Lonchura striata: one gene and its partners. The protein of the gene in region 1 purifies or fractionates together with the protein of each later gene. This does not show direct contact. Links are inferred from orthologs where the notes say so. Each region holds a gene or a part of one and is shown in the gene's direction. Other genes may lie near its edges.

Region 1 (7,881 bases):
AGTGGTTGCCACGGAAACCACTTAAAAGCCTGCTTTAAAATATTTGCTGCATATTCAAAAGCCACAATAATTTCCTGCTGTCGAATTACAACAGCTCTTCAAAAATCATTAGGAATATTCTTTAATCATCAAGGCAGAAATAATCACGTGGTTCTTCTCAGCAGGCAGATGACTGAATTCTGATCTGGAATATTATCTTTGTAAAACTGAAGCTATGATACTGAAACAAAATCAGCTGTGCTGCTGTGCAACCATCCCCAAAATCAGATCTTTCGATTGCATATTCCTAACACTAAGTTACCATCCACGGCATCCTCATATTTTGAAGTATCACAACTTCTAACTTATGATACTTCTAATAGAATCATACAATAATTTAGGGTGGAAAAATTCAAGGAGAAATTCAATTTACACAGCTAACATACTGTAATTGGAGAATGACAAAGGCACAATGTGAAGGGCTAGGAACATTCTGTTCTAACTCACTTTTCCCTGCATTTAAGAAAGCATATTCTTCACTAGGGGCACAAAAAGCTCAGCCAAACCTTTTTTTTTTTTTTTTTTTCTGTTTCCAAATAAACTGCTTGAATACTCCAAAGCCATTTGAAGTCAGGATAAACAATTCAACCATTTTCTTTTACTTTAGAAAACTCAGTGTACTGGGTTAGTTAACTTTCTTGTAGTAGCCCTCAGTAGTGCTGTGGTTTGTATTTGTAGCTTGAGTGGTGTTGAAAACACAAGAGTGGTTTGGCTACTGCCGAGCAGTGCTGGCACTGCTCGCTGAGGAGGGGCCGTGCTATGGTTTCACTAGGTGGCTGCTCGGGGTGCACCCACCACACCTGGGATCACGAAGGGATGAAAGCTGACTTCAGTTTTAATGACAACACCAAATCCCCTAGGTATGCTCTTGATCTGACCTTCCCAGCACAGTATTTAGATACAGGAGTTTATTTTCCATCTTCACCAGGACAGAAGCAAGCCATGTCATCTGAATTGAGAGGAATCCTGTGGGAACAGATGTACATCTGACTCCCGCCTTCCCTGCAAGTGAGAACTGGTTCAAAGACTGCAGTTTGATCTGGGCAGTCCTGGCAATGTGCTTAAGCTACACCACAGCCCTTCTGTTTCAGAACGCCTTCTGTCACTGTGTAAACCACGAGTCCCAAATGAAATAGAAACTTATTGAGTAGGATAACCAGAGGAAACAAGATTGCCATATGTCAAAGTCTGAGCACAGGAGGTTTGTCACATCACCCATAAAAGTATAGAGCATGAGCTTGGGAATTAAATGTTGCATGTAATTTGAGCAGTGTCAAAACCAATACTTTTATTCATTATTTCTAAACAGAATGCTTATTAGCTTGCTCAGTCATGTTTCAGTGTTAACACTGTAAGTATTTATGCAAGGGCAATACCTGGCAAGAGTGCCAAAAAGCACATTTCTCTGGAAGAAAAAAGCTGCATTTTACCCACACCCTGAGGACTATGTGCAGCCCTTGTCAGCAGGGAGAAGCATGGCTGCTCCACCAGGGCTGGGGATAAGGGGGATGCTGAGGCAGGCAGGGACCTCCTTGACAGCTCCATAGTACCTAAGGAGAACCAGGCCAGCTGGGGACAGCAACAGGGGTCAGCTGCAGTTCAAGCCTGACCTTAGAGACTAGCCAGGTTCAAGGTCAAGACAAAGGATCCATCAGCCAGGGAAGCACAGGATCAGTGAGGTACAAGGCCAGGCATGGGCACACCCACAGCATGGCTAAGGCAAGGGCCTGAACTTAAATTTGATTCCCAGTCCAAGGAAAAAACATCCTCAGTGAGCTGCAGCTCTTATCACCAATGTCCACACTGAGAGCTGGACTATCCAGAGCTATCCATGAGCACAGGCAGTCAAATGGCCATGGCAAGGGTGACACAGTAGCTCACCTGATTTTGAAGGGCTGCCTTTGAAAAGTGCTGTGAGAAATTACAGCTGTTGCCAGTTATTTGAATATTAGTGTTAAAATAATGGCCACTTCACCACAGCCACAGGGTGTTTTCTGGTCTCTTCTGACCTGCCAGAAGACCCAGATTATACAGACAATTAGCCAGGAGTGTACCATAAGGAAGAATTCTTCACTTATAGGGATAGAAAGCATGGTGTAAGAGTAAATTTTCCAACCTTTTAACATCAGGTGCTGATGAGAGCATAGTGTTCAGAATCAGTTTGCCCTGAATTTACAGCTTGGTCTGAGATATTATCCATGGAGATTAAAATGGACATTTATTTTGCCCCCACCAGAATTCCAGCTGCTGTTTATTCAGTTGCATTGCTGGGCAGAACAGCACATAGACAACCAGCCTGCCCCTGCCCCCAGGAGTTTGGTTTGTTTTCCAGTCACAGAAGACAGTCCCAGATGAAGGGTTTAGAATTTAAAGATGGAAACATGCAGGAAAGATGAATGAAAAAGGGAAGAGGCAGCAGGAGAGAAATAATAATGGAAAAAATATGTGCAAATCATTAATAAACTTCAATTAAAAGGAGAAAAAATAAAGTAGACTAGAAGGCAAAGGAGGGAAAGGTCAGGAACTTGACGAAGTAGCAAAAACAGAGGCAGTAGGACAGAAGAGAGAGAGAACATTGCAGGAACAGAAATTCCTTGTTAGGGGAGCTGGAATCTAGGAATACTTAACTCATCCTTTAGGGGGAAAAAACTTATGAGGGGAAAGTCCAAATTACTGTTTCCAGTCAAAACTAAATATTGCATAGTAGAAGTTCCTGCCTTTCCTGTTCCTGAATTTTTTTGCCTCCTGTCCTCCTAGTGTTATCAGAGGCCCCTCAAAGCACCAAACGCTGCACTGCAGCCCATCATCCCTGCCCTGTGCCTTGACCTGTTCCTCTTGTCTTCGAGCCTTCTGCCTTCTCACAAAGCTATTCTTATGCTTGCTGCCTCATTTTTTCCTGCTGCCTCTCCAGATGCCTCCCACTTGCCTTCCAAAGCCTTTTAAAGATAAGAGCAGTTCTACTGCACATCAGGGCTCACCATGAAGCATTTATCATTTCCATGCTGGCCTTTCACTGCCAATTCAATGGGGCAGAAATTGTCTCCCAGCACTCGTGCCTCCATATGATGTAGGACCCTGACACTTCTGAGAAGATCCCACTGGCGCTGCTCTGTAAATAGCAATACCTGTTTTACAGATAATATGCTGGTTTTGTTCTCAGTAATTCACTGTGCTAGCTTGGCTACCCCTGTATGAATCCTTTGTGCTCAGAACTGCTGCTCTTGCCCAATGCCAGAAGAGTTGGCAGGAGAGCTTTGTTTTTCCTGTCTCACTGAGGACAAAGGGGAACCAGAGAACAACCTGCAGTGACAGATGACACCGTTGCTATCCCCAAAAGATTCCCCCAAATTCCATTCTAAGTGCCGAGTGGGACACCACACATCTGGAAACCAGAATGATCTGGCACGTGCTGCCATGTTCACCTAACCCCTTCTTCTACAAATAGAGTGGTACAGTGAGAGGTCTGAGAGGTATTATTGCTGCTTTTCTGGCCAGGTTTTGCAGCAACCAAAAACCTCACCCCAACAAAACAAAAGTTTATTTACCTCAAAAATTTATAGGACAAACTTGACAGCGACCTCCTTAAGCTCCTGTGGAAATTGTGTTGGCTCTCACTTTTCTCTCATGCGTCTATTTTCGAGTACTCTGGTCTCCAGCAGACAGCACAGGTGTCAGCATGTTTCAAAGGCTTTTGTAATCAGAGCCATCTGATTTCCCAAATTGCATCATAGGTCAGAGACTGGCAGTAGCACAGCATGGAGCAAATGATCCCTTTAAAATCCTGATCGGACATGGATCAGCGTGAGGAGGTGGCAGGGCTCTGCTCATGGAAACAGCTGCTTCGAAGCAGTGCACACAATTGTGCTTTAAATCTTTCAGATATTTGTTGCATAAGGGCATCACTGCTGTTTCCAGAAGCCTCTTGGGCAGCGGCTGCAGGCACAGCCTGGCTGTCCTGGCCCTCGGGCTTCCAGCTGCCGAATCCAGCCTGGAAGTAGGCGGTAGCCAGGTGGAGGTCGGGCTCTTCTCCCGGACGACCAGCGTCGGGACGAGAGGACACGGCTTAGACCGGCACAGGGTTAGGCTGGACCAGTGCAGGACCGGGAGTGGGTCTCTCCAACTCAGTAAATTCCGTGATTCTGTGAAGTTAGGGGAAATTTCTTCCAAAAAGGGTGATTAGACATCGGAAGGGGCTGCCCAGGGAGGTGATGGAGTCACCCTCTCTGGATGTGTTTAAGGAAAGACTGCAGGTGGTTGGACTCAATGACCCCCGCGGTCTTTTCCACCCCAAGCGATTCTGTGAAACCAGGGGCTGTGCAGGGTCACCGCGGCCACAGCCGCTGCCACGCGCCTGCCCCTGGCCCGGCCCCAGGCTCGTGTGAGGGGCGCGCCGGGGGCGGCGGGGGAGGCTCGGCCGGCGCGGCCGCCGCCGCCGGGGCCGATTGGCCGGGCGGGCCGGGCGGGCGGGGCCGATTGGCCGGGCGGGCCGGGCGGGCGGGGCCGATTGGCCGGGCGGGCCGGGCGGGCGGGGCCGATTGGCCGGGCGGGCCGGGCGGGCGGGGCCGATTGGCCGGGCGGGCCGGGCGGGCGGGGCCGATTGGCCGGGCGGGCCGGGCGGGCGGGGCCGATTGGCCGGGCGGGCCGGGCGGGCGGGGCCGATTGGCCGGGCGGGCCGGGCGGGCGGGGCCGATTGGCCGGGCGGGCCGGGCGGGCGGGGCCGATTGGCCGGGCGGGCCGGGCGGGCGGGGCCGATTGGCCGGGCGGGCCGGGCGGGCGGGGCCGATTGGCCGGGCGGGCCGGGCGGGCGGGGCCGATTGGCCGGGCGGGCCGGGCGGGCGGGGCCGATTGGCCGGGCGGGCCGGGCTGCAGCCTCGGCCGGGGGGCGCCGCTCTCGCTCAGCTGAGGCGCTGCCGCCGCCGGGCGCGGGAGGAGGTAAGGGCCGCCTGCATGGGCCGGGGGAGGGTGAGGGGCCGCGCCCGCAAGCGTCTCCTTTTGCCCCTTCCGCTCGCACCGCTCTCCTTTCTCCTTCAGCCGCGGCAGGGCAGGGAATGTCAGGGAGCGGGGCTGGGCAGGATTGGCGTTCCGCCGGCGCTGCCGCCGCATGCCGCAGTTTTGATATCGCACGGAATAAACGCGGCCTGAGGTAATTCGTGATACGCAAACTGCAGCAGAGACGTCTTTAAATTGCTGCTGTCTGTGTGCAGTTTGCTGTCCAGGCAGGGAGGCGAGACCAGATTGTTACGGATTTAAAAAAAAAAAAAAAACAACAAAAAACACACAAAAACCACAAAAACAACCAAACAACAAAACAGCAACACACCTGCTTTATGGCGAGCTTAACAGCCAGAGCCGTGCGGTCCTGCCCACATCCGTGAGGTTGGGGAGGCACGCGAGGCAAGTGCGCTCGGACTCGTGCATTCCTTTTCACGTACGTCGGATCCCCTGGGGCAGCAGGCATGCCTGCGCTTTCTTCCGGGCGTCCTTTTCTTCCCCTTTCCTTCTGGCAGCCTGGAAAATTTCCATCTCCCGAGCAGCAGCGAGCCTGTAAAACTACAATTTTAATCACCTCATCCCGCTTCAAGTGCTGTCTTTCCCTGCCTGTCTGTAGGAACTGTTTCCCTCCAAGAGAACGTGTACAGATGAACAGGATCAGATTGTGAAAAACGCCGATCACTTGGTTTTTAAAATTTTAAAAGTTTAATAGTAAAATGGTTATAAAAATAATAATACAATTAGAGTAATAACGTTTAGAGTTAGGACAATTACAAGACAATAAAAAGCAAAGAATTACAGATGTCCGGATACTCTTGGACACAAAGTCAGGAAAAGCATGACTTGTGAACAAAGGACTCACCCTTAAACCAATACACTTGTTGCATATTCATACATCCTTCATGGTTATGCATACATTCTATTCTAAACAAAGAACTCTGTTGTATGTCAACTGTTTCCTTTAATCCCCTGGCATCTTCGAGTCTAAGCAAGGCCTGAAGAAATTAGCTTCTTCTGATAAGAAGCCATAAATTCCTATCCTTTGGAAATTTAGGTGTTCTTTGAAGCGAATATCTCATTCCTAAAACGAAAACTCCCCCCACATACATAGTCTCTATTTTAACATTATTTTGTAACCTAAAACTACACTTAATGCAATACCTAAGAGAATTAATACAGCATAACTTTCTAACATTACACATATAATATTCATTGTAAAATTTGCGAAAAGCCAATCATAAATATGCATTTATCACAAGAAGGAGCACCTCAAAGCACATTTCTATCTCGAACTGTCCATCTTGGACTTTGTCTCTAACAGCGGTACCCCCCTTTTCATTACCTCAGTCTTGTTTTGCCCAGATGGGTCTGCCCAGTCTTTGCAGACGTACCAGCTGGGAAAGTACAGACTGTTGTGTGTCCAGAGCTGTTTATATAACAAACTAAAGAGCAGGTTTCTACTTCTGATTTGCAGAGACGCTTGGAAGGCAAAACTATCATCACTATTTTTACTTGCCTGGTGAGAGTTGAATTTGATAGGGAACAAATGCATTAATTAGCTTATGAGTTTGGATTGATCCTCTGATTCATGCTGTGGATACTGGGTAATCTAAATATAGTGAGCATTTCATGTTCTCTTCTCAAGCTGACAGAAGTGAAGGCGAGTGTGGGTTTTGCTAATTGACAGGCTTTTAGTTTGGTCCTACTGTGTTTCACAGAAGGAAGTTAACCTGCTGCTGTTACGAGTCAAGGATAGCATGAAAGAAAAAGCAGTTCCAGGAAGTAAAGCAGGTTTTAAATGCCTGTAAGTATGCTAAAATAAGGGTGTGATATTGCAATCACCCTAAGTAAAATGGAAAATCTAAAGATCTCAAATAGTTCCATATTCAGCTGGTGCAACAGTGATTTCCAGAACATTCAGCCTTTTATCAAGTCAACAGTTAACCTCTAAGGGCTAAGTAAAGAAACCTTTCTTTTTTTCATGCAACCTAAGAATTGCATGAAAGGTAAACCCACAGCATCTGAAGCAACACACTTTGAGCTGGGAACAACATGTTTATTGAAGGCCTTCCAAAAGCTCTGTCACTGCCATTTTCTACTAAAGCAACCCTTTACTAATTCACCTTTGATTGCATGTTTTTTGTGAGTACACAGATTTTTTATCTAGCAACTTAAAAACGTAGTTTTAACAAATATTTCAGATCTAGAGATGCAGTTGTGATTGGCCTGGGCAGAGGACAACAGCAAGGCACTCCAGCCCAGAATTAAAGTGTCTCTGGAGTACAAGTGTTGCTCTTTGCTGTCCAATTATGTCAGATCACCCTGCTGTCTTTTTTAAAACTATTATTATAATTATTTTTCATTCACCATAAGCCTGGGTATATTTAGATCTGTGGTTATGTCATATAATACTTCTCACTCATCATTTTGCCCTTAGCAAACTTTGAGTAATTAAGTTAGAAATTCCTCACTGGGTTTATATCTTTAGTGTGGTTAGTTACAATGATCTGTGTGGTCCAGTTCAAGTACTCCATTGCGACATGTAATTATTACAAATTGCATCCTTGGACTTCGGTGAAGTTGGGTGTTGCTCTAGAAAAGATCAATAATCCAACCTTTCTATGCTTTTCACCATGCTAGGTGAGTCATCATTAGCAAATTTTTGTCTGTGCTGAGCCAAGTGGTGTGTATGAATTTATCTGGACTGGAAAAGAGATCTGAGAAGCCAGTAGATCTTGTCTGCCTGTGTTAGCCCATTTCAGGGTTAGGTGGCAAAGAACTTCAAGCCAGATGAAACAGCAAATAGCTGCATGGGTTTTTTGAGGGGGAAGTTTGTGTGTACAGTTGTGA
Region 2 (7,169 bases), on another chromosome or scaffold:
ACCTGGGCAGCTGACACACCTGGGTACAGGTAACACACCTGGGGGGTCACACACACACCTGGGCAGGTAACACACCTGGGGGTCACACACACACCTGGGCAGGTAACACACCTGGGGGGTCAGACACACCTGGGGGTCACACACACACCTGGGCAGGTAACACACCTGGGGGTCACACACACACCTGGGCAGGTAACACACCTGGGGGGTCAGACACACCTGGGGGTCACACACACACCTGGGCAGGTAACACACCTGGGGGTCACACACACACCTGGGCAGGTAACACACCTGGGGGGTCAGACACACCTGGGGGTCACACACACACCTGGGCAGGTGACACACCTGGGGGGTCAGACACACCTGGGGGGTCAGACACACCTGGGTACAGGTAACACACCTGGGGGGTCAGACACACCTGGGGGGTTACACACCTGGGCAGGTAACACACCTGGGGACACACCTGGGGGGTCACACACACCTGGGGGGTTCAGATCACCTCCAAGCTGGTGCGCAGGTGAGCGCACCTGGGCAGGTAACACACCTGAGGACACACCTGGAGGTCACACACACACCTGGGCAGGTAACACAGCTGGGGACAGGTAACACACCTGGGGGGTCACACACACCTGGGGGGTCAGACACACCTGGGGGGTCAGACACACCTGGGGGGTCAGACACACACCTGGGGGTCACACACACCCGGGGGGTCACACACACCCGGGGGGTCACACACACCTGGGGGTCACACACACCTGGGGGTCACACACACACCTGGGGGGGGGGTCACACACACACCTGGGGGGTCACACACACACCTGGGGGGTCACACACACCCGGGGGGTCACACACACCTGGGGGTCACACACACCTGGGGGTCACACACACTTTTGGGGGGAGTCACACACACACCTGGGGGGTCACCTGTCCATATCTCACCTGTGTCTCACCTGTCCCACCCGCCAGGGTGTCCCTGGACCCCTCCCGCCGCCAGAGCTCCAATCGCTGCGTCTCGGCCACGCCCGGCCCCGGCGCTGCCAAGATCCGTGAGTGGCACCTGGGCACACCTGGGGGCACCCAAAACTCACCTGGGCACAGCTGGCACACCTGGGGGCACCCAAAATACACCTGGGCACACCTGGGGGCACCCAAAATACACCTGGGCACCCCCAAAACTCACCTGGGCACACCTGGGGGCACCCAAAGTACACCTGGGCACACCTGGGGGCACCCAAAACTCACCTGGGCACAGCTGGGGGCACCCAAAACTCACCTGGGCACACCTGGGGGCACCCAAAATACACCGGGGCACACCTTGGGGGACATCTGGGCACACCTGGGGGCACCTGGGCACACCTGGGGATTTTCGGGATGGGATTTTTGGGGTTGGGATGGGATTTTTGGGACATCCGAGGGATTTTTGGGACGGGATTTTGGGGAATCCGAGGGATTTTTTTGGGGCCAAAGGAGAGATTTTTGGGATGGGATTTTTTGGGACATCTGAGGGATTTTTGGGATGGGATTTTTGGGGTTGGGATGGGATTTTTTGGGACATCTGAGGGATTTTCGGGATGGGATTTTGGGGCCATCCAAAGGATTTTTGGGATGGGATTTTTGGGATTATTGGGATGGGATGTTTTTGGGGTTGGGATGGGATTTTCGGGATGGGATTTTGGGGCCATCCGAGGGGTTTTCGAGATGGGATTTTGTTGGGGTTGGGATGGGATTTTTTGGGACATCCGAGGGGTTTTTCGGGATGGGATTTTTGGGGATTGGGACGGAATTTTGGGGCCATCCGAGGGGTTTTTTGGGGGGCCAGGGTCGCAGACGAACCTGCGGGAATCGGGGGACCTGCGCTCACAAGGTGGGTGCTGCCCCTCCCCCCCTCCCCTCCCCCCCCGGGACCCCCCCGGGACCCCCCGGGACCCCCCGGGACCCCCGGCCTCACCTGTCCCCCCGCAGTCGCCATCTACCTGGGGATCAAGCGGAAGCCGCCCCCCGGCTGCGCCGAGGGGGGGGGGCTGTGACCGCCCCTCCCCCACCCCCGGCAGCCGCCCCTCCCCCAGCCTGGGGGGGGGGGGCGGGGCAACGGCCCCGGGAAAGCCCGGAACCGGATTGGGACCCGCGGAACCGGATCGGGACCCGCAGAATGGGATCGGGACCCCCGGAACTGGATCGGGATCCCCGGAATGGGATCAGGACCCCCCCGGGAAACCCCAGAACCGGATCGGGAATCCCGGAACTGGATCGGGACCCCTGGAATGGGATCGGGACCCCCAGAACAGGATCGGGACCCCCGGAATGGGATTGGGACCCCCAAAAGGGGACTGGGACCCCACCCGGGACCCCCGGACCTGGATTGGGACTCCTGGAATTGGATCAGGACCCCCAAAACGAGACTGGGACTCCCCCGGGAAACCCTGGAACTGGATTGGGACCCCCGGAATGGATCGGGACCCCCGGGACTGGATCGGGACCCCCAAAACGAGACCGGGACCCCCAAAATGGGACTTGAACCCCCCCTGGGACCCCCGGAACCGGATCGGGACCCCCGGGACTGGATCGGGACCCCCCCGGGAAACCCTGGAACCGGATCGAGAATCCCGGAATGGGATCGGGACCCCCAAAACGAGACTGGGACCCCCCCGGGAAACCCCGGAACTGGATTGGGAACCCCAGGACTGGATCAGGACCCCCAGAATTGGATTGGGACCCCCAAAATGAGACCGGGACCTCCCCCTGGGAAACCCCGGAACTGGATTGGGACCCCTGGAATAGGATCGGGACCCCCCAGAACCCCCAGAACGAGACCGGGACCACCCGGATGAGACCGGGACCCCCCTGGGACCCCCAGAACCAGACTGGGACCCCCCAGAACCGGACTGGGACCCCCAGAACCGAACTGGGACCCCCAGAACCGAACTGGGACCCCCCAGAACCAGACTGGGACCCCCAGAACTGGACTGGGACCCCCCTGGGACCCCCAAAATGAGACCCGGGGCCCCCAAAACCGCATTGGGACCCCTCCGGGACCCCCGGAACTGGATTGGGACCCCCAGAATTGGTTTGGGACCCCCGGGACCCCCAAAACGAGACCCGGGACCCCCAAAACCGCATCGGGACCCCCCCGGGACCCCCAAAAGCTGCCCGGGGGTCCCCCCAGGAGCCCCCCAAGGATTCGGCAGCCCCGGGACCCCCCCCCCAAGATTCGGGGCCCAGCGGCGCTGGGACCCCCCTGTCCCCGTTGGGGGGGGGATTTTGGGGGTCCGGTGCCAAGATTTTGGGGACCCCCACCCCAAAGCGCAGCCCCTCCCCCCCCGTGTACAGTCTGTAAATAGGCCCCGCCCCCCGGCCCCTCCCCCCAGGACCCCTCCCCCGTTTTTAAGTTATTCCTGCCCCGAGCTGTGCCCCGACCCCCCCGACCCCCCCAAATAAACCTCGGGACCCCCAAAAACCCCCCCAGTGTCACTGTCTGGGGGGGTCCAAATTTGGGGGGGATTTGGGGGAGATTTGGGGAATTTGGGAGGGGGATTTGAGGAATTGGGGGGGGGGGATTTGGGGTCCACATTTTCGGGGGGGGATTTGGGGAGGGGGATTTGGGGAGGGGGATTTGGGGTTCATATTTTGGGGGGATTTGGGGAATTTGAGGAGGGGGATTTGGGGAACTTGGGGTCCATATTTTGGGGGGGATTTGGGGGATTTGGGGGGGGTTTGGGAAATTTGGGGAGGGGGATTTGGGGAATTTGGGGTGGGGGGATTTGGGGTGGGGGGATTTGGGGAGGATTTGGGGGAATTTGGAGGGGGGTTTGGGGTGGGGGGGTTTGGGGAAATTTGGGGGGAATTTGGGGAATTTGGGGGGGGTTTGGGGGGAATTTGGGGACGGGTCAGAACGAGACCCCTCCCCGATGTCGCTCAAGGGGCGTGGCCACCACCACCACCATATATGGTAATTAGTGGGCGTGGCCAACCAGGTTCCCATTTTATGTAAATCAAGGGGCGTGGCCACCCTCAGGTTCCTTATATGGCGATTTGTGGGCGTGGCCAACGCGGAGCGGCGCGCGGTGGGCGTGGCCACGCCTTCCTTATAAGGCGGTCGGGGGGCGTGGCCAACGCCTCCCGCCCCCTGGATGGACCAATCAGCGCGAGGCCACGCCCCCTCGCAGCGGGACAAGATGGCGGCGCTGAGGGCGCTGCGGTGGCGGCGCCTCCCGGGGCTCGAACCGAGGCGGCTCCGGAGCACGGCGGTGAGCGCGGGAAACTGGGGAAAAAACGGGGAAAACGGGGGAAAACGGGGGAAAACGGGGGAAAACGGGAGAAAACGGGAGAAAACGGGATAAAACGGGAGAAAACGGGATAAAACGGGATAAAAACGGGAGAAAACGGGAGAAAACGGGATAAAAACGGGATAGAAACGGGATAAAACGGGAGAAAACGGGATAGAAACGGGATAGAAACGGGAGAAAACGGGATAGAAACGGGAGAAAACGGGATAAAACTGGGGGAAAACGGGATGAAAACGGGATAGAAACGGGATAAAACTGGGATAAAACGGGATAGAAACGGGAGAAAACGGGAGAAAACGGGATAGAAACGGGAGAAAACGGGGGAAAACGGGGGAAAACTGGGATAAAACGGGATAAAAACGGGATAAAACTGGGTTAAAACGGGATAAAAACGGGATAAAACGGGATAAAACGGGATAAAAACGGGAGAAAATGGGGGAAAACTGGGATAAAACGGGATAAAAACGGGAGAAAATGGGGGAAAACTGGGATAAAACGGGATAAAAACGGGAGAAAACGGGGGAAAACTGGGATAAAACGGGATAAAACGGGAAAAAACGGGGGAAAACGGGAGAAAACTGGGGAAAAACGGGAGAAAACGGGATAAAACTGGGTTAAAACGGGATAAAAACGGGAGAAAAGGGGAGAAAACGGGATAAGACTGGGATAAAACGGGATAAAAACGGGAGAAAATGGGAGAAAACGGGGGAAAACTGGGATAAAACAGGATAGAAACGGGAGAAAACGGGAGAAAACTGGGGAAAAACGGGGGAATACGGGGGGAAACAGGGGGAAATGGGGAAAAACGGGGAAAAATGGGGAAAAACTGGGATAAAACGGGGGAAAACGGGGGGGAAATGGGTAAAAATGGGGGAATACGGGGGGAAACGGGGGGGAAATGGGAGAAAACGGGATAAAAATGGGAGAAAATGGGAGAAAAGTGGGATAAAACGGGGTAAACCGGGATAAACCAGGAGAAAACGGGAGAAAAAAGGGGTTAAATGGGATAAAATGGGATAAAACTGGGATAAACTGGGATAAACCAGGAAAAAATGGGATTAAACCGGGATAAAACGGGATAAACTGGGACAAAAAGGGGAAAAACAGGGAAAAAACGGGACAAAAGAGGATAAAACTGGGATAAAACGGGGTAAACTGGGAGAAAAGGGGAGAAAACGGGGCAAAACGGGGGAAAAAAGGGGGGAAATGGGGAAAAAAACGGGACAAAACAGAATAAAACAGGATAAACTGAGGCAAAAAGGGTCAAAGAGGGGAAAAAAGGGAAAAAAAGGGGCAAAAAGGGACAAACGGGGACAAACCGGGACAAAAGGGGGAAAAAAGGGACAAAAATGGGAAAAAACTGGGAAAAACCAGGATAAACTGGGACAAAAAGGGGAAAAAAGGCGGGAAAATGGGGAAAGAAGGGGAAAAAAGGGACAAAAAGGGAGAAAAAAGGGACAAAAAGGGAGAAAAAAGGGACAAAATGGGCCAAAATGGGGAAAAAAAGGACAAAAAGGGACAAAAAGGGGGGAAAGGGGGAAAGAAGGGGAAAAAAGGGACAAAAAGGGACAAATGGGGACAGAAAGGGACAAAAAGGGGAAAAAGGGACAAAAAGGGAGAAAAAAGGGACAAAATGGGCCAAAATGGGGAAAAAAAGGACAAAAAGGGGGGAAAGGGAGGGGATAATGAGGGGACCACTGTGTGACCCCTGCGTGACCCCTGTGTGACCCCGTGACCCCCGTGTGACCCTGTGACCCCTGCATGACCCCGTGACCCCTGTGTGACCCCGTGACCCCCGTGTGACCCCCTGACCCCTGTGTGACCCCATGACCCCTGCGTGACCCCGTGACCCCCGCGTGACCCCGTGACCCCTGTGTGACCCCAGGAGCCCCCCGAGGAGCGGCCGCAGTTCCCGGGCGCCTCGGTGTCCCCACGACCCCTGTGTGACCCCCTGACCCCTGTGTGACCCCCTGACCCCTGTGTGACCCCGTGACCCCTGTGTGACCCCGTGTGACCCCTGTGTGACCCCAGGAGCCCCCCGAGGAGCGGCCTCAGTTCCCGGGCGCCTCGGTGTCCCCGTGGCCCCTGTGTGACCCCGTGACCCCCGCGTGACCCTGTGACCCCCGTGTGTCCCCATGACCCCTGTGCGACCCTGTGACCCCTGTGTGACCCCTGTGCGACCCTGTGACCCCTGTGTGACCCCGTGACCCCTGTGTGACCCCGTGACCCCTGTGTGACCCCTGCATGACCCCGTGACCCCTGTGTGACCCCAGGAGCCGCCCGAGGAGCGGCCGCAGTTCCCGGGCGCCTCGGTGTCCCCATGACCCCTGTGTGACCCCTGTGTGACCCCATGACCCCTGCGTGACCCCGTGACCCCTGTGTGACCCCTGCATGACCCCGTGACCCCCGCGTGACCCCAGGAGCCCCCCGAGGAGCGGCCGCAGTTCCCGGGCGCCTCGGCCGCGTTCTCGGAGCGCCTGGAGTTCATCCAGCCCCAGGTGCTGGCCGGGATCCCCGTGTACCGCGTCATGGACCGGCAGGGACACGTGCTGCGGGACACGGAGGATCCCCAGGTAACACGCGTGACACGGGACACACACACGTGTAACACACACACGGCCCGTGTACCGCGTCATGGACCGGCAGGGACACGTGCTGCGGGACACGGAGGATCCCCAGGTAACACGCGTGACACGGGACACGCACACGTGTAACACACACACACACAGCCCGTGTACCGCGTCATGGACCGGCAGGGACACGTGCTGCGGGACACGGAGGATCCCCAGGTAACACGCGTGACACGGGACACGCACACGTGTAACACACACACACACACGGCCCGTGTACCGCGTCATGGACCGGCAGGGACACGTGCTGCGGGAC
Region 3 (7,497 bases), on another chromosome or scaffold:
TCCCTGTACAGGTATTTCTAGATTAAGCTAGTAGAAAAAAAGAGTTAAATATGATCTGCAGTTTCAACTTAAAACTGATTGAATTAAGCAAAGTGGGACTCTCATCCTGTAATTATGAAACACTGATATGTCATATAAAGAAAGCTGAACAATGTCTCTATGGATAGACACCGCAGTTTCCAGCCTTGATTCATTTAATGTTATGAATTACTCACGCAATTTAAAATAGGACTGTCTTCAAATTAAGTGTGCAGTATTTAAAAATCTAAAAAGCAATTGGTGATGTAACACACAGTTACTAGTCTAGACTGAGTGGGAAGCTCTGTCTTACCACAGAGGTGGGTCATACAGCAGAAGAAACGGGATGATTTCTGACCTTACAAGAAAATGAGTGCAAAACTACGCCATAAAGGCTTCTTTTCCTTTCCCCCCCCCTGCTCTTTGCCAGACTACAACTTGTCTGGTTCCAGACAGATTGCCCTGACCTGCTTTTTATTAAAGTGTAAAATAATTATTGGCGTTTATGCTACATTATTGGCATTTATGCTACCTAAGATGAAACCATTTATTTCTAAGTCCTGTTGATCAAAACCATTACTGCTCTGGTCTTGTTTAGTTTGTCTTACTCATTCTTAGGGGTAAGACAACCCTTTCTGTTCCCACATTTAATCTGTACAGGACTGACAATAAAACCAGCCAGGCCAAATGGTAAAACTCTTTTTCACATATCCAAGAAAGAAATGCCTGTCCCTAATCAACAAAAAACCCCATTTGTCTGAGGGAGGAGGGACGGGAGAAAACAGCTTCAAAGTATCAGCACAGAAAGAGAAGGACAAAGCAGACAATAATTAGGGTAGAAGGAAGACAGAAGACAGCAAACAAAACATGAAAATAGCTGTAGTGCCAAGACCTAGGATTAATGTGACAAGAGTGCTCACTAGCAGTTCCTATAAGAGGGGGTAAAACATCTAATCAGCTGTTGGGGTGGAAACATGCAACAAGATTCCTTCCATGAACCACAGAGCAGGGAGGAAAACTTACAGCAACACTATAACATGTCAGACAGAAGTGACAAGAAAACAGCTATGCTTGAAGGAATGCAACAGAAATTGCCTGGATGCTTCATCACCTATAAAAACATAATTTAAAGTAACACCTACTAGGAAATGTGATGAGTTTAAGGTTCAGCTGCAAGCTATGTAAAAATTTTGAGAGATTTTGAAACAGAATAGTAGACTTGGAGCCATATGTTTATGTCCAAATCCAATATTGCAGTTTGCTCACAGTTAGATCCATGTCAATCAGAGGCAACAACATGAACTTCAAGGGAGTTACATCTGATTGATGCTGGCATAAATATGGGCATAATCTGGTCTGGGACAGTAGGGTCTGCAATCATCAGATCCTCATTAATTGCTCTGTATGATTATTCACAAATAATAGTAATCCCTGCCAGAGTTTTTTAATGGCTGTCAACAATACTAAGGATGTGCAAAATGACTAATACACACAGATGGGGAATGTAGTTGATTTCAGCTCTTAATGTCTGCTGTACAGATTTAACAGAAGTGGCCCCAAGTGACTGAACAACTTCCAAAAGAGAAAAATGTATTCAAAATGTAATTGAAGTTGCTGGAATATCTAAGCATATATCAGGAACAACATGGATATAATTATTACCCCATCAGAGCTGGAAAGACATAAATGCTGGGACTAAACTCCACTAAAACATTGTTCAGCCAGTGTACATTTGGATAAACCTCTTTGATTGGCCCGTTAAAAAAGATTTATTTATTTATTTATTTATTTATTTATTTATATTACCAGTGCAAATATCCAAGGCCATGTGGACAAACCATTTTTTGTACTCAAAAGGCAACAACAATGCAGGTGTTAGTATCTATTTCCAGATATTTTTTTTCCCTTTCACCTATGAGGTGAACATCTTACTGCAGATATTTCTTCTTTCCACTGTTCCATCATAAATGCTGTAACTTCCTGTGTAAGATACTGGGCCACATGAGCATACTTTTCCTTTTCAAATTCCATGTATCACCAGGTATAGGAGACAAGAGTCCCAGCATGGCATCTACTAACTGTACATAAGCAGAATATACCTTACAGTTTATAGTATGAGTTTAGCAATTCACAGTAAGTGATACATTAGTAATAGATGTCAGACTCACATGTAAAATAATTCCTTTCTATACTATTGCTCTCCATTTTTAAGTTTTGCAGATCTTGCCACAATGATGTGAAATATAGCTAAATTCCTCCTACTCAGATACATTGTTTTCTGAAAGAAACACAAATATTTGAATAGTAAACGTGGATATTTTCCACTATTAGCAATACATATTACATGATTATGTATCACTTGGTGGTTATTATATTATTATGTTTTCCAGGTCCTAAACTTTATCAAACATCTATGTATTGCCTTCAGTTGAAGTTGGAAGCAACCTCAACTTTTGACATTTATACTCCTTGTTCATTGCAAAGATGGCATTCTATTGTTCGTTAAAATTCTCACCCCCTTTAGAAATTTAGATAGTGTCTTGTTTCCCTGGGATGTACTGGGATATGTTCAAACTTTGATCCCATGACCAATCACTCAAAATTTGAATGCTTTTTCAGCAGTCTCTAAGGATAAAGGGTGTGGTGAAGAGCAAGTAGATGGTCTCCTCAGTTAGCAGGAAGAGTAAGCCTTTTATTTTGCACAAATCTTAATGATTAAGAAATTCTAAATCAACATGAGAAAATATGTTTTCACAAAATACATAATGAAGCAATAGTCTTCAATGAAATTGAACTGTGGTCATTACAGGAATATTCAGTAATGGCTTGGAACTCAGATAGGAAAAAAAATCTAATCATCACAGCTATACATATTTTATGTTAGACAGGAAATCTATCATTCCAGTGTTTAAACTAGGCCCTGTTCATACAGGGTTACATATGAGCCCTCTCACTTGCAAGAGGTGATGCCATTTATATGTAATTCTAATTTCTAGCCTTTTTCTTTGAGGCACAGTACTGAGTTAGAGTTCTTGGAGCAAAGTAAAAAATGCTAGCCAGTATGGTTTGCCTTACAGATAATATCAAAACAGACAGGGAAGAACAACTTAAACAACTTAAAACAACTTGTCACATGCATTGGAGGCTGCATGACAGGGCTTGATGAAGAGGCATGCACAGGGACAAGATGTGAAACACTGACAAAAGGGAAAGGGGGAAAGGATTGACCTGGAGACAGCTGAAATGCAACAAGGATGGGTAAACAGAGGAAGAAATGGAGGCTGCAAAAGTAGACCAAGTAGACCAAGAAGATTCACCTGGATGATGGAAGTAATGTGAGGTTGTCATACTTTGATGAGGAGAACATTAGAAAGAATGTTTTTATAAAACCTGACAAAGAAAATATGTGCATATGAAAGATCATAATTTCAATAAAATAATGTACCAAAGGTCTGAGCAAGAGTGTTTCAAAGAAAAGCCCTCAGAAAAAATTAAGTTAAAGCAAGGCAGACTGAAAGCCAGGATGGACAGTCAAGAGAGATTTTGAGAGACAGAGTGGAACAGGTAATATCTGCAGGTCTGTGAATTCCTTTCACCCTTCTGGGGCAGCTGCTGGGGTAGAATTTGAGGATTTCAGATATTTATGAAGGGAGCCTAGAAGAAAGATAGAGAGTTTTACAAGGACATGTAGTGACAGGAAAAGGGAGAATGGATTCAAACTGGAAGAATACAGATTTAGATTGGATATTTGGTGAATAATTCTTTACTGCAAGAATGGTGAGGCATTGGAAAAGGTTGCCCAGAGAAGCTGTGGATACTCCATCCCTGAAAGTGTTCAAGGCCAGGTCGGATGGGCTCTGAGCAACCTTGCCTACTGAAAGGTGTCCCTGCCACTGGCAAGTCTGCTGGAACCAGATAATCTCTGAGGTCCCTTCCAACCCAAACCAGTCTGCGATTTGTCGACTCTGGGGTGGTGACACGACAACCCCTGCAGTGGAAGAAAAGAGAAAAGTTTAAGGGGAGAGGGGAAGCCTTTGGTTTCAGCTGCGACGGTGACAGTACCTAGGCAAAGCCTCCTGTGGCTGTGCCTATGACTGCGGCTATGGCTGTGGCTGTGGCTGTGCTTGTGGCCGTGGCTCGTGGCTGTCCCTGTCCCTGTAGCTGTGGGGGCGCACGGCAGCAGCGCGCTCCCGCCCTCAAGGCGCGCTCCCGCCCTCAAGGCGCGCTCCCGCCTCCCGCGCGCCCCGCGCTCACCCGCACGCGCCCCAGGCCGCGCGCCCCCCGCGCAGGCGGGAACCCTCCCTCCCTCCCGCTCCTCCACCCACTGCGGAGCCGCCGCTGATTGGTCCGTGCCCCGGCGGCGCTGGCCAATGGGGGGCCGGCCCGGGACCCCGCCTCGTTAGTAGGCGCTGGCGGCGCCGGGCCGGCATGGCAGCGATGGCGGCGGCGGGGCGGGCGCTGCGCGCGGCGCTCCCCGCCGGGCTCTGGGGCCGCCCGGCCCCGCTGCCGGGCGCGCCCCGCCGCACCGCCGCGCACTTCGCTTTCCAGCCAGACCCGGCGCCCAGAGAGTACGGTGAGAGCGCGGCTGGCCGGGGTCCACCCCGCGGGCCGGTCTCAACCTCTCTCTGCCGCCGGGTCCGCCCTGTCGCCGTGCCTCCTTAGGCGGGGCCGCCAGCAGCCCGGTCCGGGATGGCAGCGGGCAGGCAGGGCCCGCCGGGGGCCCGCCGGGGCGCTGCGGGCCGGCCCCGGGCGGCGCAGGCATCCGCACGGTCGCGTGACCCCGCTGCGTCCTCGGCACTCCCAGCCGGGGGTTTTCCGCAGGAATCCTGGGCTGTGGGTGGGAATGCCCTTGTGGGCCGCTGGTGGGGCCGCAGGCCGCCTCGGCGGTGGGGTGGCGAAGTGTTTTGGGCTGTCAGAGCCAGAGCTGCGGTAGGTGGGCCCATCGTGTGCTCAAACCTGCACGGCCATCCTCGGCCCCTGTCCTCTACCAGGAGCTTCTAGAAGTAACTTACTGACTTGACATCTGTCCTGGTTTTTGTGTTGCATGCTTAGGTCATGAGTGTGATAACAAACCTATGATGAATAAAGACTGCTGTCTGCTGAAAGATTGGAGGTCATCCTCGTGGTCACATGGTTGAGACTAAACACAGATAACTTGGAAATGAGCAGCGCATGGTGTTTGACTTTTATTTTTGGGATGTGTCCCTCCAAATGGCTAGTGCCAAGTTCTGAAAGAAGCCTGCTGGCTGCAGAACAGCTGCTTCTATCACGTAAACCTGAACCTAACTATCCTCTAGAAACCTTGTTACTTGGTTGGATACCTTGTTGTTGCATCTTGATCATGATTAACAGAAACAGAGTTTCTGCTAATGATAAAGATATACCAAGGTCCCACATAGTGAAGCTTGTGTATGGCAGGTCCCTGCTTGAGGTCATGCGAAGAAGCTCTGGGGTGGCATGCCATTAATTAGTAGAAAGTTAATTCCCTGTGACTTAAAATACACTTCAAAATTCTGTGGAAAAGCAGTGGAAGTGAAATAAAATTATAGCAATACTGCTCCTGATATTGTTGAGATATTGCTTTTCCAACTTCATAGGTCAAATCTAAAAGATACAATTAGTTCCCCCTTTCCTCTGTGGGGTTTATATGAAGGCCTGTGTTATAAGCAAGAGAAGCAGGTTAGAACTATCGTAATACCCATTTATTTATATACAATACTGGAAGGATGTTATCTTGTAGAAAAGATAAACTAAGTACTAATGTGGATGGATGGCTAGGGAAAGAGGGAAACAGCTGCCATTCCCGAGCTTTTATTCTCTTTTTGTAAGTTTTGTTCATTAGGGCTTTTGTATAACCGGAACAGTTCTCATAACATTTTCTTTTCAGTATTTTCCTCTCCTTGAAGGGCCATGTAAAGTATAACAAGTCAAGTTACCAAGCACAGGAATGTGTAGGAATGCAGCTGCTCAGATGTAGCATGGCACTAGTCTTCAACAAAAAAATACTAACATTAATTAATGATTTAGAAGAAAGGGAAGCTGAATGTTTGTTGAGAGGTACTGTAACTACTGGGAAAAGGATGTAGTTCACCTTTCTGAATTCTAACACCTATTAGTTCATGTGGGATCTTCATCTAATTATCTTATTTATTTATTTAGCACACTGTGTGTGCTGGAGGTGGCATTCTCCTGGACTGTAGATTCTAGTCATGACTTAAGAGATTTTTCCAGTTAAAGAGCTACCAAATTAAAGAGCAGCCAAGCAATTTCTTACTTGGTTTCTTTTAAGAATTATTTTATTTGCTTGGAGAATCTGAATTGGTCATTGTAGTGAGGACTAGGCTACTGTTTTGGTCCATCTTTGCTTTCAGGTCTCCTTGTTTTTCACAAAAGTGCAGGAAGGAAGAAGGGCATTCTGGTAGCATTGTTCTAAATTAAACAACTTACTTTGCTTCAGCACGAAGTTTCTTTCTTTGAAGTATGAATTTGAAACTTCAGACACTTACTAACTGCAGTGCAGAGAGCAGGCCAGTGGTCTTGAAATTTTCTGATAATAATAGATGTCTGTAAATGGGAAAGGCTGGAGCTTAAAAAATGTGATTAAAGAATGATAAAGTAAACGTCAGTGAATTTTCTGGGGGGGAGGGAAGATCCCAGTCCTCAAAATGGTGATATGTTGGTTTCTTCTTTTGAAAAGGAAGACATTCTTCCCAGTGCTTGACTGAGCTTTGCAAAGCTTCATTTGCTGTAGGCAAGAGCATAGATTTTTGAAAAAAAAAAAAAAAAAAAAAAATTGGAAGTGGAATTATAGTCCTTGGGAAGGCCAAGTATACAATGCTCAATCCCATCTATCCTATAATTTAAGTTTATTCAACAAATGAATCTTGGGTATTCCTAACAGGAATCTTGTTTTTGATGGTTAAATTTTTAGACATGTTTGCACCAGTGTTTTCTAATGTACTTCATGTTTTGAACCAAATTAAATTGCGGAATGATCACTTTCACACAGGGCAAACTCAGAAGATGAATCTCTTCCAGTCCATAACAAGTGCCTTGGACAATGCTTTAGCCAAAGATCCAACTGCAGGTACTTTATACTTGTTAGTGTATTTTGTTTTATATAAATTGTGTTTTGGTTTGCCTATCTGTGTACAATATTTAATGTATTTCTCATGCCCTGTAAAGTTTGCTAATAAGTTATTACTTCACTTTGATCTCAAATCTTAAAAATGTGTTGCATTAACAGATTACTAATGGATTATATGGTCTAAAATGTAGTTGTATCTTCTGTATTAGCTCTGTGTATTTCACTTGAAGGTGAGGACAGAAGATACATTCTTTAACATGTTTAAAGTATTACTGAGGAGAACTGTCCTTGAGGGCAGCTCGAGTCCCACTAGTAGGAGTTTTAAAAATGTAAACATTACTTTTACATTTCTTAAACTTTCTGTTCCCTAAAACTGGTACGTTTTTAGAGAC
Region 4 (6,920 bases), on another chromosome or scaffold:
TGTCTGCCTTAGAAACCCTTATAATGGAATTAGGCTCTTTAACAATAATCCTCTGTAATTCACATCTTATTAACTTTCTAACCCCAACCTAACTGGCTCCTTGGAAAAAGCTCAGTAATGCACTGCCTGTTCAGCATGCCCTCCCCTCAGGGGAGCCAACAGGAAACATTACACAGCAGCTGTAGACTCAGCAATGAAAAAAAAGACAGCAAAGAATCCTATCCCATTTGTCATATGGTGACAGTACACACAGGGGCAGCTAATGCAGATTAGTTCATGTATTATAAATTCACCCCTCAGTTTGATTGAGAGCCCCTTGTGTGTGCCTCTGCTCACACACAAGTTCAGTAAAGGCCCAGCTCTGCTGCATGGCTCCACAACTCACCTCCTTTTTATATCACAATTAAATGTGAAATTGAACTTTTCAACTATTGGCTTGAAAACCTGAAAAAGAAACATATAAGAATTAATTTATTTTTGCATTGATAATTTTCCACTACTTAATGAATTCTTAGAAGAAAAAAAATAGCTCAACACAAAAATTTCAGTTGCATTATTAAAATAAAAAAAAGATAGCCAGTCTTATCCATATAGCTTATTTGACATTCCTCATACTTTATTCTCAATATAACTTTGTGTAAAAGGATTTTCTTATGGAAAAAAAGAAGAGTTATTCACAGCACTTCTAGAAAAAAGAATACATTTTAAGTGAAATTTTCTGCAGTAAATTAAAACTAAAGAGACTATTTGCCATTTCAGAAATTCCATGAATCACTGGTGTCTCTCTACATCCAGTACACTAATAGTGTTATATTCCATGCCTAATTGCATAATCACAAATAGACTTGCAGTAAGAGCAACAGAGAACAGCAGTTACATTGCATACATATTCAGGGAAGATGCACCAAGGCAAAGGAATTTCTCCCTACCATGACTGTGTAGTCTATCTGAGGAGCCATCTCCGCATTAGTCCCACCTTTTAAATGAAGCTCTGATGGGGAGGCAGCAAACAGCACACAGGGCATTGCTACCTGCATCAGTAGGCACACACTCCTAAAAACAATTATAAGATACTCAAATGCCATACTCTATTAATCCACAAAATTGCATAGAATCATTATATATCAAAGGCAAATGACTCTCTAGAACATTTACTTTTGTATTTTATTTTTTAAATTATCTATAAACTTATTAGTCTTAAAAGATACTACTTTAAAACTTCATGTCCTTAGCAAGCATAAATATGAAAGTTTTCATTTCACAATAATTGCATCTTTAATATTTCTGTTTGAAATAAAGTTATGTATCTTCCTTAGTATAGTGATGGGACCAAGAAAACTGTGTTTAGGTAGCAGAAAACGTTTTAATAAATCAATGGAATATGTTCCCATTTCCAAAAGACCAATATGGCATACTGTGCTACTATGAATCTAAGTAGAATGTCAAAATTTACCTTATTATATGGCAATTATTTCAGACCTCATGCATGTGAGATACTTATCTAATTTAATGCATTTGGTCTGGTATGTAACACACTAATGTGAGGAATTTACATCTGAAGTTTTAAAGACATGGGCAGCTGCTTTCTTCATAACATGAATCAAGCATTCAGATTTTATATAAATCGTACTTTTAAACTTCACGTGTACTTCATGCATATCCTGCCTATACTACAGGTTGTTTGGTCACATAAATCTGGCTCAGGCAGCACATATCTTGGGTCATTACCAAAGCATAAATCTTCTTTCCACCTCCCCCCCATCTATTATGATAATTTTAAAATTATCAGAAGCTGGTGTACAAAGACATACCCTGCTGTTTTTGTATCTGCTATGTGAGTTCCACCTTTGATCTTCCCAGGAGTGAAGGTTATTTCTGTTGAGCCAATCTCTCCACCATTCAGCTTCCCATCACACAAATCTCGTATGATCTCCAATCCAGACAGATGCTGAGGTCTTAGAATGACAATACACAGTTAAAGACACATACAAGTAGACTACATCCTCATGTTACACTGAAACAACCACTAAACACCAACTGAAAAACTACGACTCCAAATTTTGGATCAGACAAGGATCAGAAATTCACTCTGGTTGCTACAGTACTTCTGAGCTCACAGGCGCCAAAGGAGCAGCATTCAGGCCATACTGGGATATGCAGGATTCTGGTATCCTTTCCACTAGAATAGACCCAAGAGAGCTATCTGTGCTATGAATGCTCAGACAGAAATGCAGTGGGAAATGATGGCAATACTGGCTGAGCCAGAACCAGTTGCAGTGCTACAAGAGAATTAACAGGTTTGCTATGTACTTGCCTTGTGCTTGTTACCATTTGTTCGTGTAATTTAAACAGGAAATACACCAACTGGTCTTAACACTGGAAATACACGAAGCGTAGCAGCACTAGGATAAGCACTAACTGCTGTTAACACTGTACGCTCGGTAAGCCGTGTTTTGCTCAGGCATTACGTGAGTGTGTTGCCTGTTTCACCGGCGGAACCATCTCCGAGGCAGCGCGGGCCCCGCGCTGAGGGCACCATGCCGCAGCGTTCCCCCTCACTCCTTGTGGGCCACAGACGGCATTTCCCAGTACAAAGGCTCTTTTAGAGCAATGGAAGCGCAAATGTTTCAGACGAGAGCAGCCGAGGCCTTGCGCGGCCGTGGCCCAGCCCCGGAGGGCCCACACGCCGCAGTGACCGGCGGAGCGCCCCGGGACCGCCGGAGGGTCTCACCTGAGGCCGGGCTGGCTCCGCCCGGCGCGGATCCGGCGCACCCGCAGCGGCAGCCCCAGCAGGCAGCTCAGCGCCGTGGACACCCGCAGGATCTGCCCGCCCTGCACGGACAAACGGCGCTCGTCAGGCGCTACGGCACCTCCCGGCCAGCCCGTACAGCTGACCGGGGCCAGGTAAGCCGCGGCCCGCTGGCGCTCACCCCCTCCATGATCCCGCCGTCTATCTCCACCCTGTCCCCGTCCATAGCTGGCGAGGAGCGGCGTCTCTCGCAGAGGCCGCGCCGATGGGATCCCGGCGGGGCCCTAACCACGGCGAGCCCTCGGCGAAGCAGCCGCGGGGCCAGGAGCGCTTGACGGCGGCGGGCCCGGGATGCTGCGGTACGGGCGCGGGGGGCGGGCGGCGGTGCCGGGCAGGCGCGGAGCGGAGGCGCCGCCCTGCCCGCCCGCCGCGGGGAGGAGCAGCCGGCGGGCCCGGCGCTCAGGCAGGGGCAGGAGTGCCTCCGTTATCCCCGCGGTACTGACCGCAGGAGGCAATGCCTTTCCCTTGTCCTCAGGGCCGGAGCCGTAACAACCGCGGCACCTGGGACATCAGAGCCATGGGTACAGCGCTGCCGCGGAGGAGAGCTGCCCTGCTCGTTATGAGCTAATTTCCTCAGAATCACAGAATGAATTAGGTTGTAAAAAACTTCTGAGATTATCAAGTCTACCACCATGCCAGTCAGACCATGGCACTAATTACCACGTCCAGTCTTTTCCTTAAACACCTCTAGGGTTGGTATAACCGCCAGCTTCCTGGGCAGCCCGTTCCGATGTCTAATCACCCTTTCTGTGTGAAGACAGTCTTCCTACTGTTCAACGTAAACTTTCCCTGGTGAATCTTAAGACTATGCCCTGCCGCTTGTCACCTGGGACCCCAAGCTGGCTACAATCACCTTTCGCGCAGAACCACAGACACGGGCGTGTAGGTCTGGCAGGCGCACGCAGCACTTTATTACACGTGTATGGGGAAAGGCCGGGCTCTCGGCGCTGCCCTTCCCGGGACCGGCACCCGCGGCTCGGGCCCGGGAGCCCCGCGCAGGGCGCGGTCCCTCCCGTGGGCGTGTGTGGGCCCCGAGCGCCGCCGCGCGCTCCTGGTTGGCCGAGGCGGCGCGGCCGCCGCGGGTTGGCTGTGCCGGGGGTGTGTGCGGGGCCGCTCTGCCCGGGGTAAGATGGCGGCCGTGACCGCGCTGAGGAGCAGCTGCCGAGCCGCGGGGCGCCTGGTAAGGGGAGCGGGGACCCCGCGGGCGGCGGCGCTCCTCCCGCGGCCGGCCGGGGAGGGAGAGATAACTCTTGGCATCCCCGAGCCCTGTTCCTGCCGGCGGGCACACGGCGCGCACCGCGCCTCTGCAAACGCGGCGCGCTGGCGGACCTGTCGCCTCGGCAGTGTGCGGGGCCGGGCAGCGACTGAGCTCCGTCCCCGCTGTGCGCTCCCCGCGGTGCCCGAGTCCCCGGCTGTGCCCCGCGCTCCACAGGCACCCCGAAGTGGCACCCTCTCCCCCCGCGCTGCCCGTGCTCCCTGTGAAAGAAACTTGTGCCTTTCTGTAATATGACAGTGACATCCTCCTCTTCTGTTATTTCTAAGTCATCCCGTTATTGCTTTGCCTAAGCGTTGCTCTGCCATCACCGCTTCTCCGCCCACGCATCAGCTCCCTTTGCATACCGCATCTGTACGGAGACGGTGTGGATACACGTACAAAAAAGGAAAACGTGTTTCTTTGAATCCCAGGAGCCTTGATACTTGAAAAGTACTTGAGATTCTTTACCATAAGAAGTGAATCTTCTTGGTTGCCTTTTTGAGATACTTACAATTTCATGGCCGTAGACTTCGTTCATGCTTTCTTCTGTCTTGCATTACAGTCTTCTTGCTATTGTGAAGAGCATTGGTTTCCTATTATGTCACCCCTATTTTGTAGGATGTTAGAAAAGAAATAATTTTTGACATTTAGAGGCAAAATTAAGGATCAGTTCCAGTTTCTAGTATGTTTTTCTCTTACTAATTCATATTGTAATTTTAAAGCATAATGCTGAGGAAGTTTTAAATTATACTTTTGTAAGGCAGTTTACATCCAGTAACTTATAAGTATTTATAAATAATTTTACTAATTAAGAGCACTGAAATTAGCATTTTCTTTTAAATTGTATTTCTAACCTTCTACTCTTAAATCTGGAGAGAGATTCTGATAAGATGAAAACACTCATCTTATCTATGTGCATGCTGAACTGTAGAATTGGCTGGTTTGTAGTGTGTGTTTCCTGCAAGCACATTTTGAATCTGAGCCAGAGGCCTTTGTTTGAAGTGGTAGGGAAATGGCAGGTACCTGGACACTGGGACATGTGCCAGGTATTTAGATGAGGGATGGCATCAGATTAAAACACATTACCAGGGATGTTGCTTTAGTATATAGGTAACTATATACTTGGAAATATAGAATATGTATGCAAAACACATCCAATGTGAGAAAATGTTCATTAAAATGACTCAGTGGGACAGAAGTCAAGAGAGTTCAGCAGGGCAATATCCTTTAATGCAAAGTTATTGCCTGTGACCATGAACTGTTCAATTTTACTTGGAAATTTAGTGTTACTCCCTCAGTTAATCAGTTCTCTTCAGGCTGCTTAAAAATACTTTGGTCTGAGGCCAACATACAGGATCAGTGGTAATTTAGAAAACCGGAGTTGGCTTGTTTTTAAGGAAACAAAGCTGAACCTGAGAGGGAAGGCAGTTGTCCCCCTGAGTGCCCTCAGCTCCCCCTTGGCTGGGGTCAGAGCACGGCTCTGTCAGCCAGGCTGGTGTGGCCTCAGTCCCAGCGAGGGTTTGACTGGGACCTCAGCTCCTTTATGCCAGAGTCACTCTACACACTGGAGACGTGCACAGGAAAGCTGTTGCCTTGCTGTGGCAGTATTGCCTTTAAGTTGCTGTTTAGTCTAACAATAGCCAGGTTAACAAGCTTAGTATAGCATTTATGTTTGGGGTTTACTGATAGATTTTTCCAAACATCAAAATATTTAGATGGGTATACTATGGATATTAGAGCTAATTTTGTCTTTTATGTGCCATTTTTATTTCTTTGTTTGGCATTACACCAGTATTATGGTGATTAAATGCTGAAATTGTAAGCACAGTCTCTTTGTTTAATGGATTATAATTTTTTCCTTGTTGGTAAGGAACACTGCTCTGTGAGAAGATTGTGTCCTGTATTATTAGTTTAACATACTAGCACATCAGCTTTTTGGTAGAGAATGTGCAAAACTGAAAACCAGAAAGATATTGTTTTAAAAAATGCAATAGTTTTTAATTATTCCTTCAAATATAATATAAAACAGCATGGTAACTCTTTAATAACAACACCAAGTCTCTTTTTTTGGCAGTGACATTACTAATTTACTACCTGCATTGGTAACCAAAGGTTAAAAATCACATGGAAATCATTGTGAAACTTCACATTTAGAAATAGTTCAGAGATTTGATGTGCTCCTTGTGATCATCTTCACAGGTAAATACTGAATGTTTTTCATTTAGGGTCATATAAAGAGAAAAGAGAGTTTTTGCAAGTTTGTGACAAAAACGTCTAGTTGAACAGTTTTTTCAGTAAACATTAAAATGTAACCTTCAACTGGGAAGAAGCCCAGAATTAAAAATAGAAGAAAAATAAGATTGTGAAGATGTACACTGTATGCCAGTTTTGTAATTAAATGTAAACTTTAAACATATTCCTAAAGTACAATTTTTTGTAAAATTGCCATGTTACTAGGTTGTTGAATATGGAAAGTTGTTTGGAGGACCAATGAAAAGATTTTCTATTTGCTTGTTATGGGAATGAGAAAAATACTCATACTAGATCAGTAAGTACCATCTTAGTGGCAGGCAACTGAAAGGTAATTCAAATTATATAACTTTGTTGTGTCCACCATGATAGACTGTGTTGTATAAAGATTTGTTTCTTAAAGAAAGGGGATATTGGATATAACTTGCAGTGCTGGGTTAAATAATACAGAAAATGAGTACATTGTCAGTTCAGAATTGTATGGCCTGCTGAATAATGTACTTTTTAAATAATGAAAAATGATAGCAAATAGTTGAACAGTTTGGGGTGTGGGGAGGGAAACAAGAAATTTCATATACTCTGTAATTACTGAAAGGATTTTTTTAA

What was found.
Region 2: the proteins of PPM1K (region 1) and BCKDHA purify together in Homo sapiens (affinity purification with mass spectrometry; 4 studies listed by BioGRID and IntAct, counting the BioPlex papers as one, with this or other methods). This does not show direct contact. The link is inferred for Lonchura striata from reciprocal best matches to the Homo sapiens genes PPM1K and BCKDHA.
Region 3: the proteins of PPM1K (region 1) and BCKDHB purify together in Homo sapiens (affinity purification with mass spectrometry; 3 studies listed by BioGRID and IntAct, counting the BioPlex papers as one, with this or other methods). This does not show direct contact. The link is inferred for Lonchura striata from reciprocal best matches to the Homo sapiens genes PPM1K and BCKDHB.
Region 4: the proteins of PPM1K (region 1) and DBT purify together in Homo sapiens (affinity purification with mass spectrometry; 4 studies listed by BioGRID and IntAct, counting the BioPlex papers as one, with this or other methods). This does not show direct contact. The link is inferred for Lonchura striata from reciprocal best matches to the Homo sapiens genes PPM1K and DBT.

The regions. Positions count from the first base shown.
Region 1 is NC_134606.1:64,143,961-64,151,841, forward strand, and holds the start of PPM1K (protein phosphatase Mn(2+)-dependent 1K), read left to right. Parts: upstream 1-4,871; 5' UTR 4,872-4,971; intron 4,972-5,359; exon of another isoform or gene 5,360-5,581; intron 5,582-6,373; exon of another isoform or gene 6,374-6,447; intron 6,448-7,881. UniProt on the Homo sapiens protein: Serine/threonine-protein phosphatase component of macronutrients metabolism.
Region 2 is NC_134633.1:5,562,123-5,569,291, forward strand, and holds the start of BCKDHA (2-oxoisovalerate dehydrogenase subunit alpha, mitochondrial), read left to right. Parts: upstream 1-4,166; 5' UTR 4,167-4,172; coding exon 4,173-4,244; intron 4,245-6,703; coding exon 6,704-6,856; exon of another isoform or gene 6,857-7,169. Other genes in the region: MARK4 (MAP/microtubule affinity-regulating kinase 4), read left to right, coding at 967-1,046, 1,820-1,864, 1,963-2,027. UniProt on the Homo sapiens protein: Together with BCKDHB forms the heterotetrameric E1 subunit of the mitochondrial branched-chain alpha-ketoacid dehydrogenase (BCKD) complex.
Region 3 is NC_134605.1:81,557,248-81,564,744, reverse strand, and holds the start of BCKDHB (2-oxoisovalerate dehydrogenase subunit beta, mitochondrial), read left to right. Parts: upstream 1-4,487; 5' UTR 4,488-4,591; intron 4,592-7,027; 5' UTR 7,028-7,041; coding exon 7,042-7,105; intron 7,106-7,497. UniProt on the Homo sapiens protein: Together with BCKDHA forms the heterotetrameric E1 subunit of the mitochondrial branched-chain alpha-ketoacid dehydrogenase (BCKD) complex.
Region 4 is NC_134611.1:22,888,090-22,895,009, reverse strand, and holds the start of DBT (lipoamide acyltransferase component of branched-chain alpha-keto acid dehydrogenase complex, mitochondrial), read left to right. Parts: upstream 1-3,915; 5' UTR 3,916-3,938; coding exon of another isoform or gene 3,939-3,989; intron 3,990-6,255; exon of another isoform or gene 6,256-6,263; intron 6,264-6,920. Other genes in the region: RTCA (RNA 3'-terminal phosphate cyclase), read right to left, coding at 386-444, 930-1,053, 1,812-1,955, 2,732-2,832, 2,931-2,975. UniProt on the Homo sapiens protein: The branched-chain alpha-keto dehydrogenase complex catalyzes the overall conversion of alpha-keto acids to acyl-CoA and CO(2).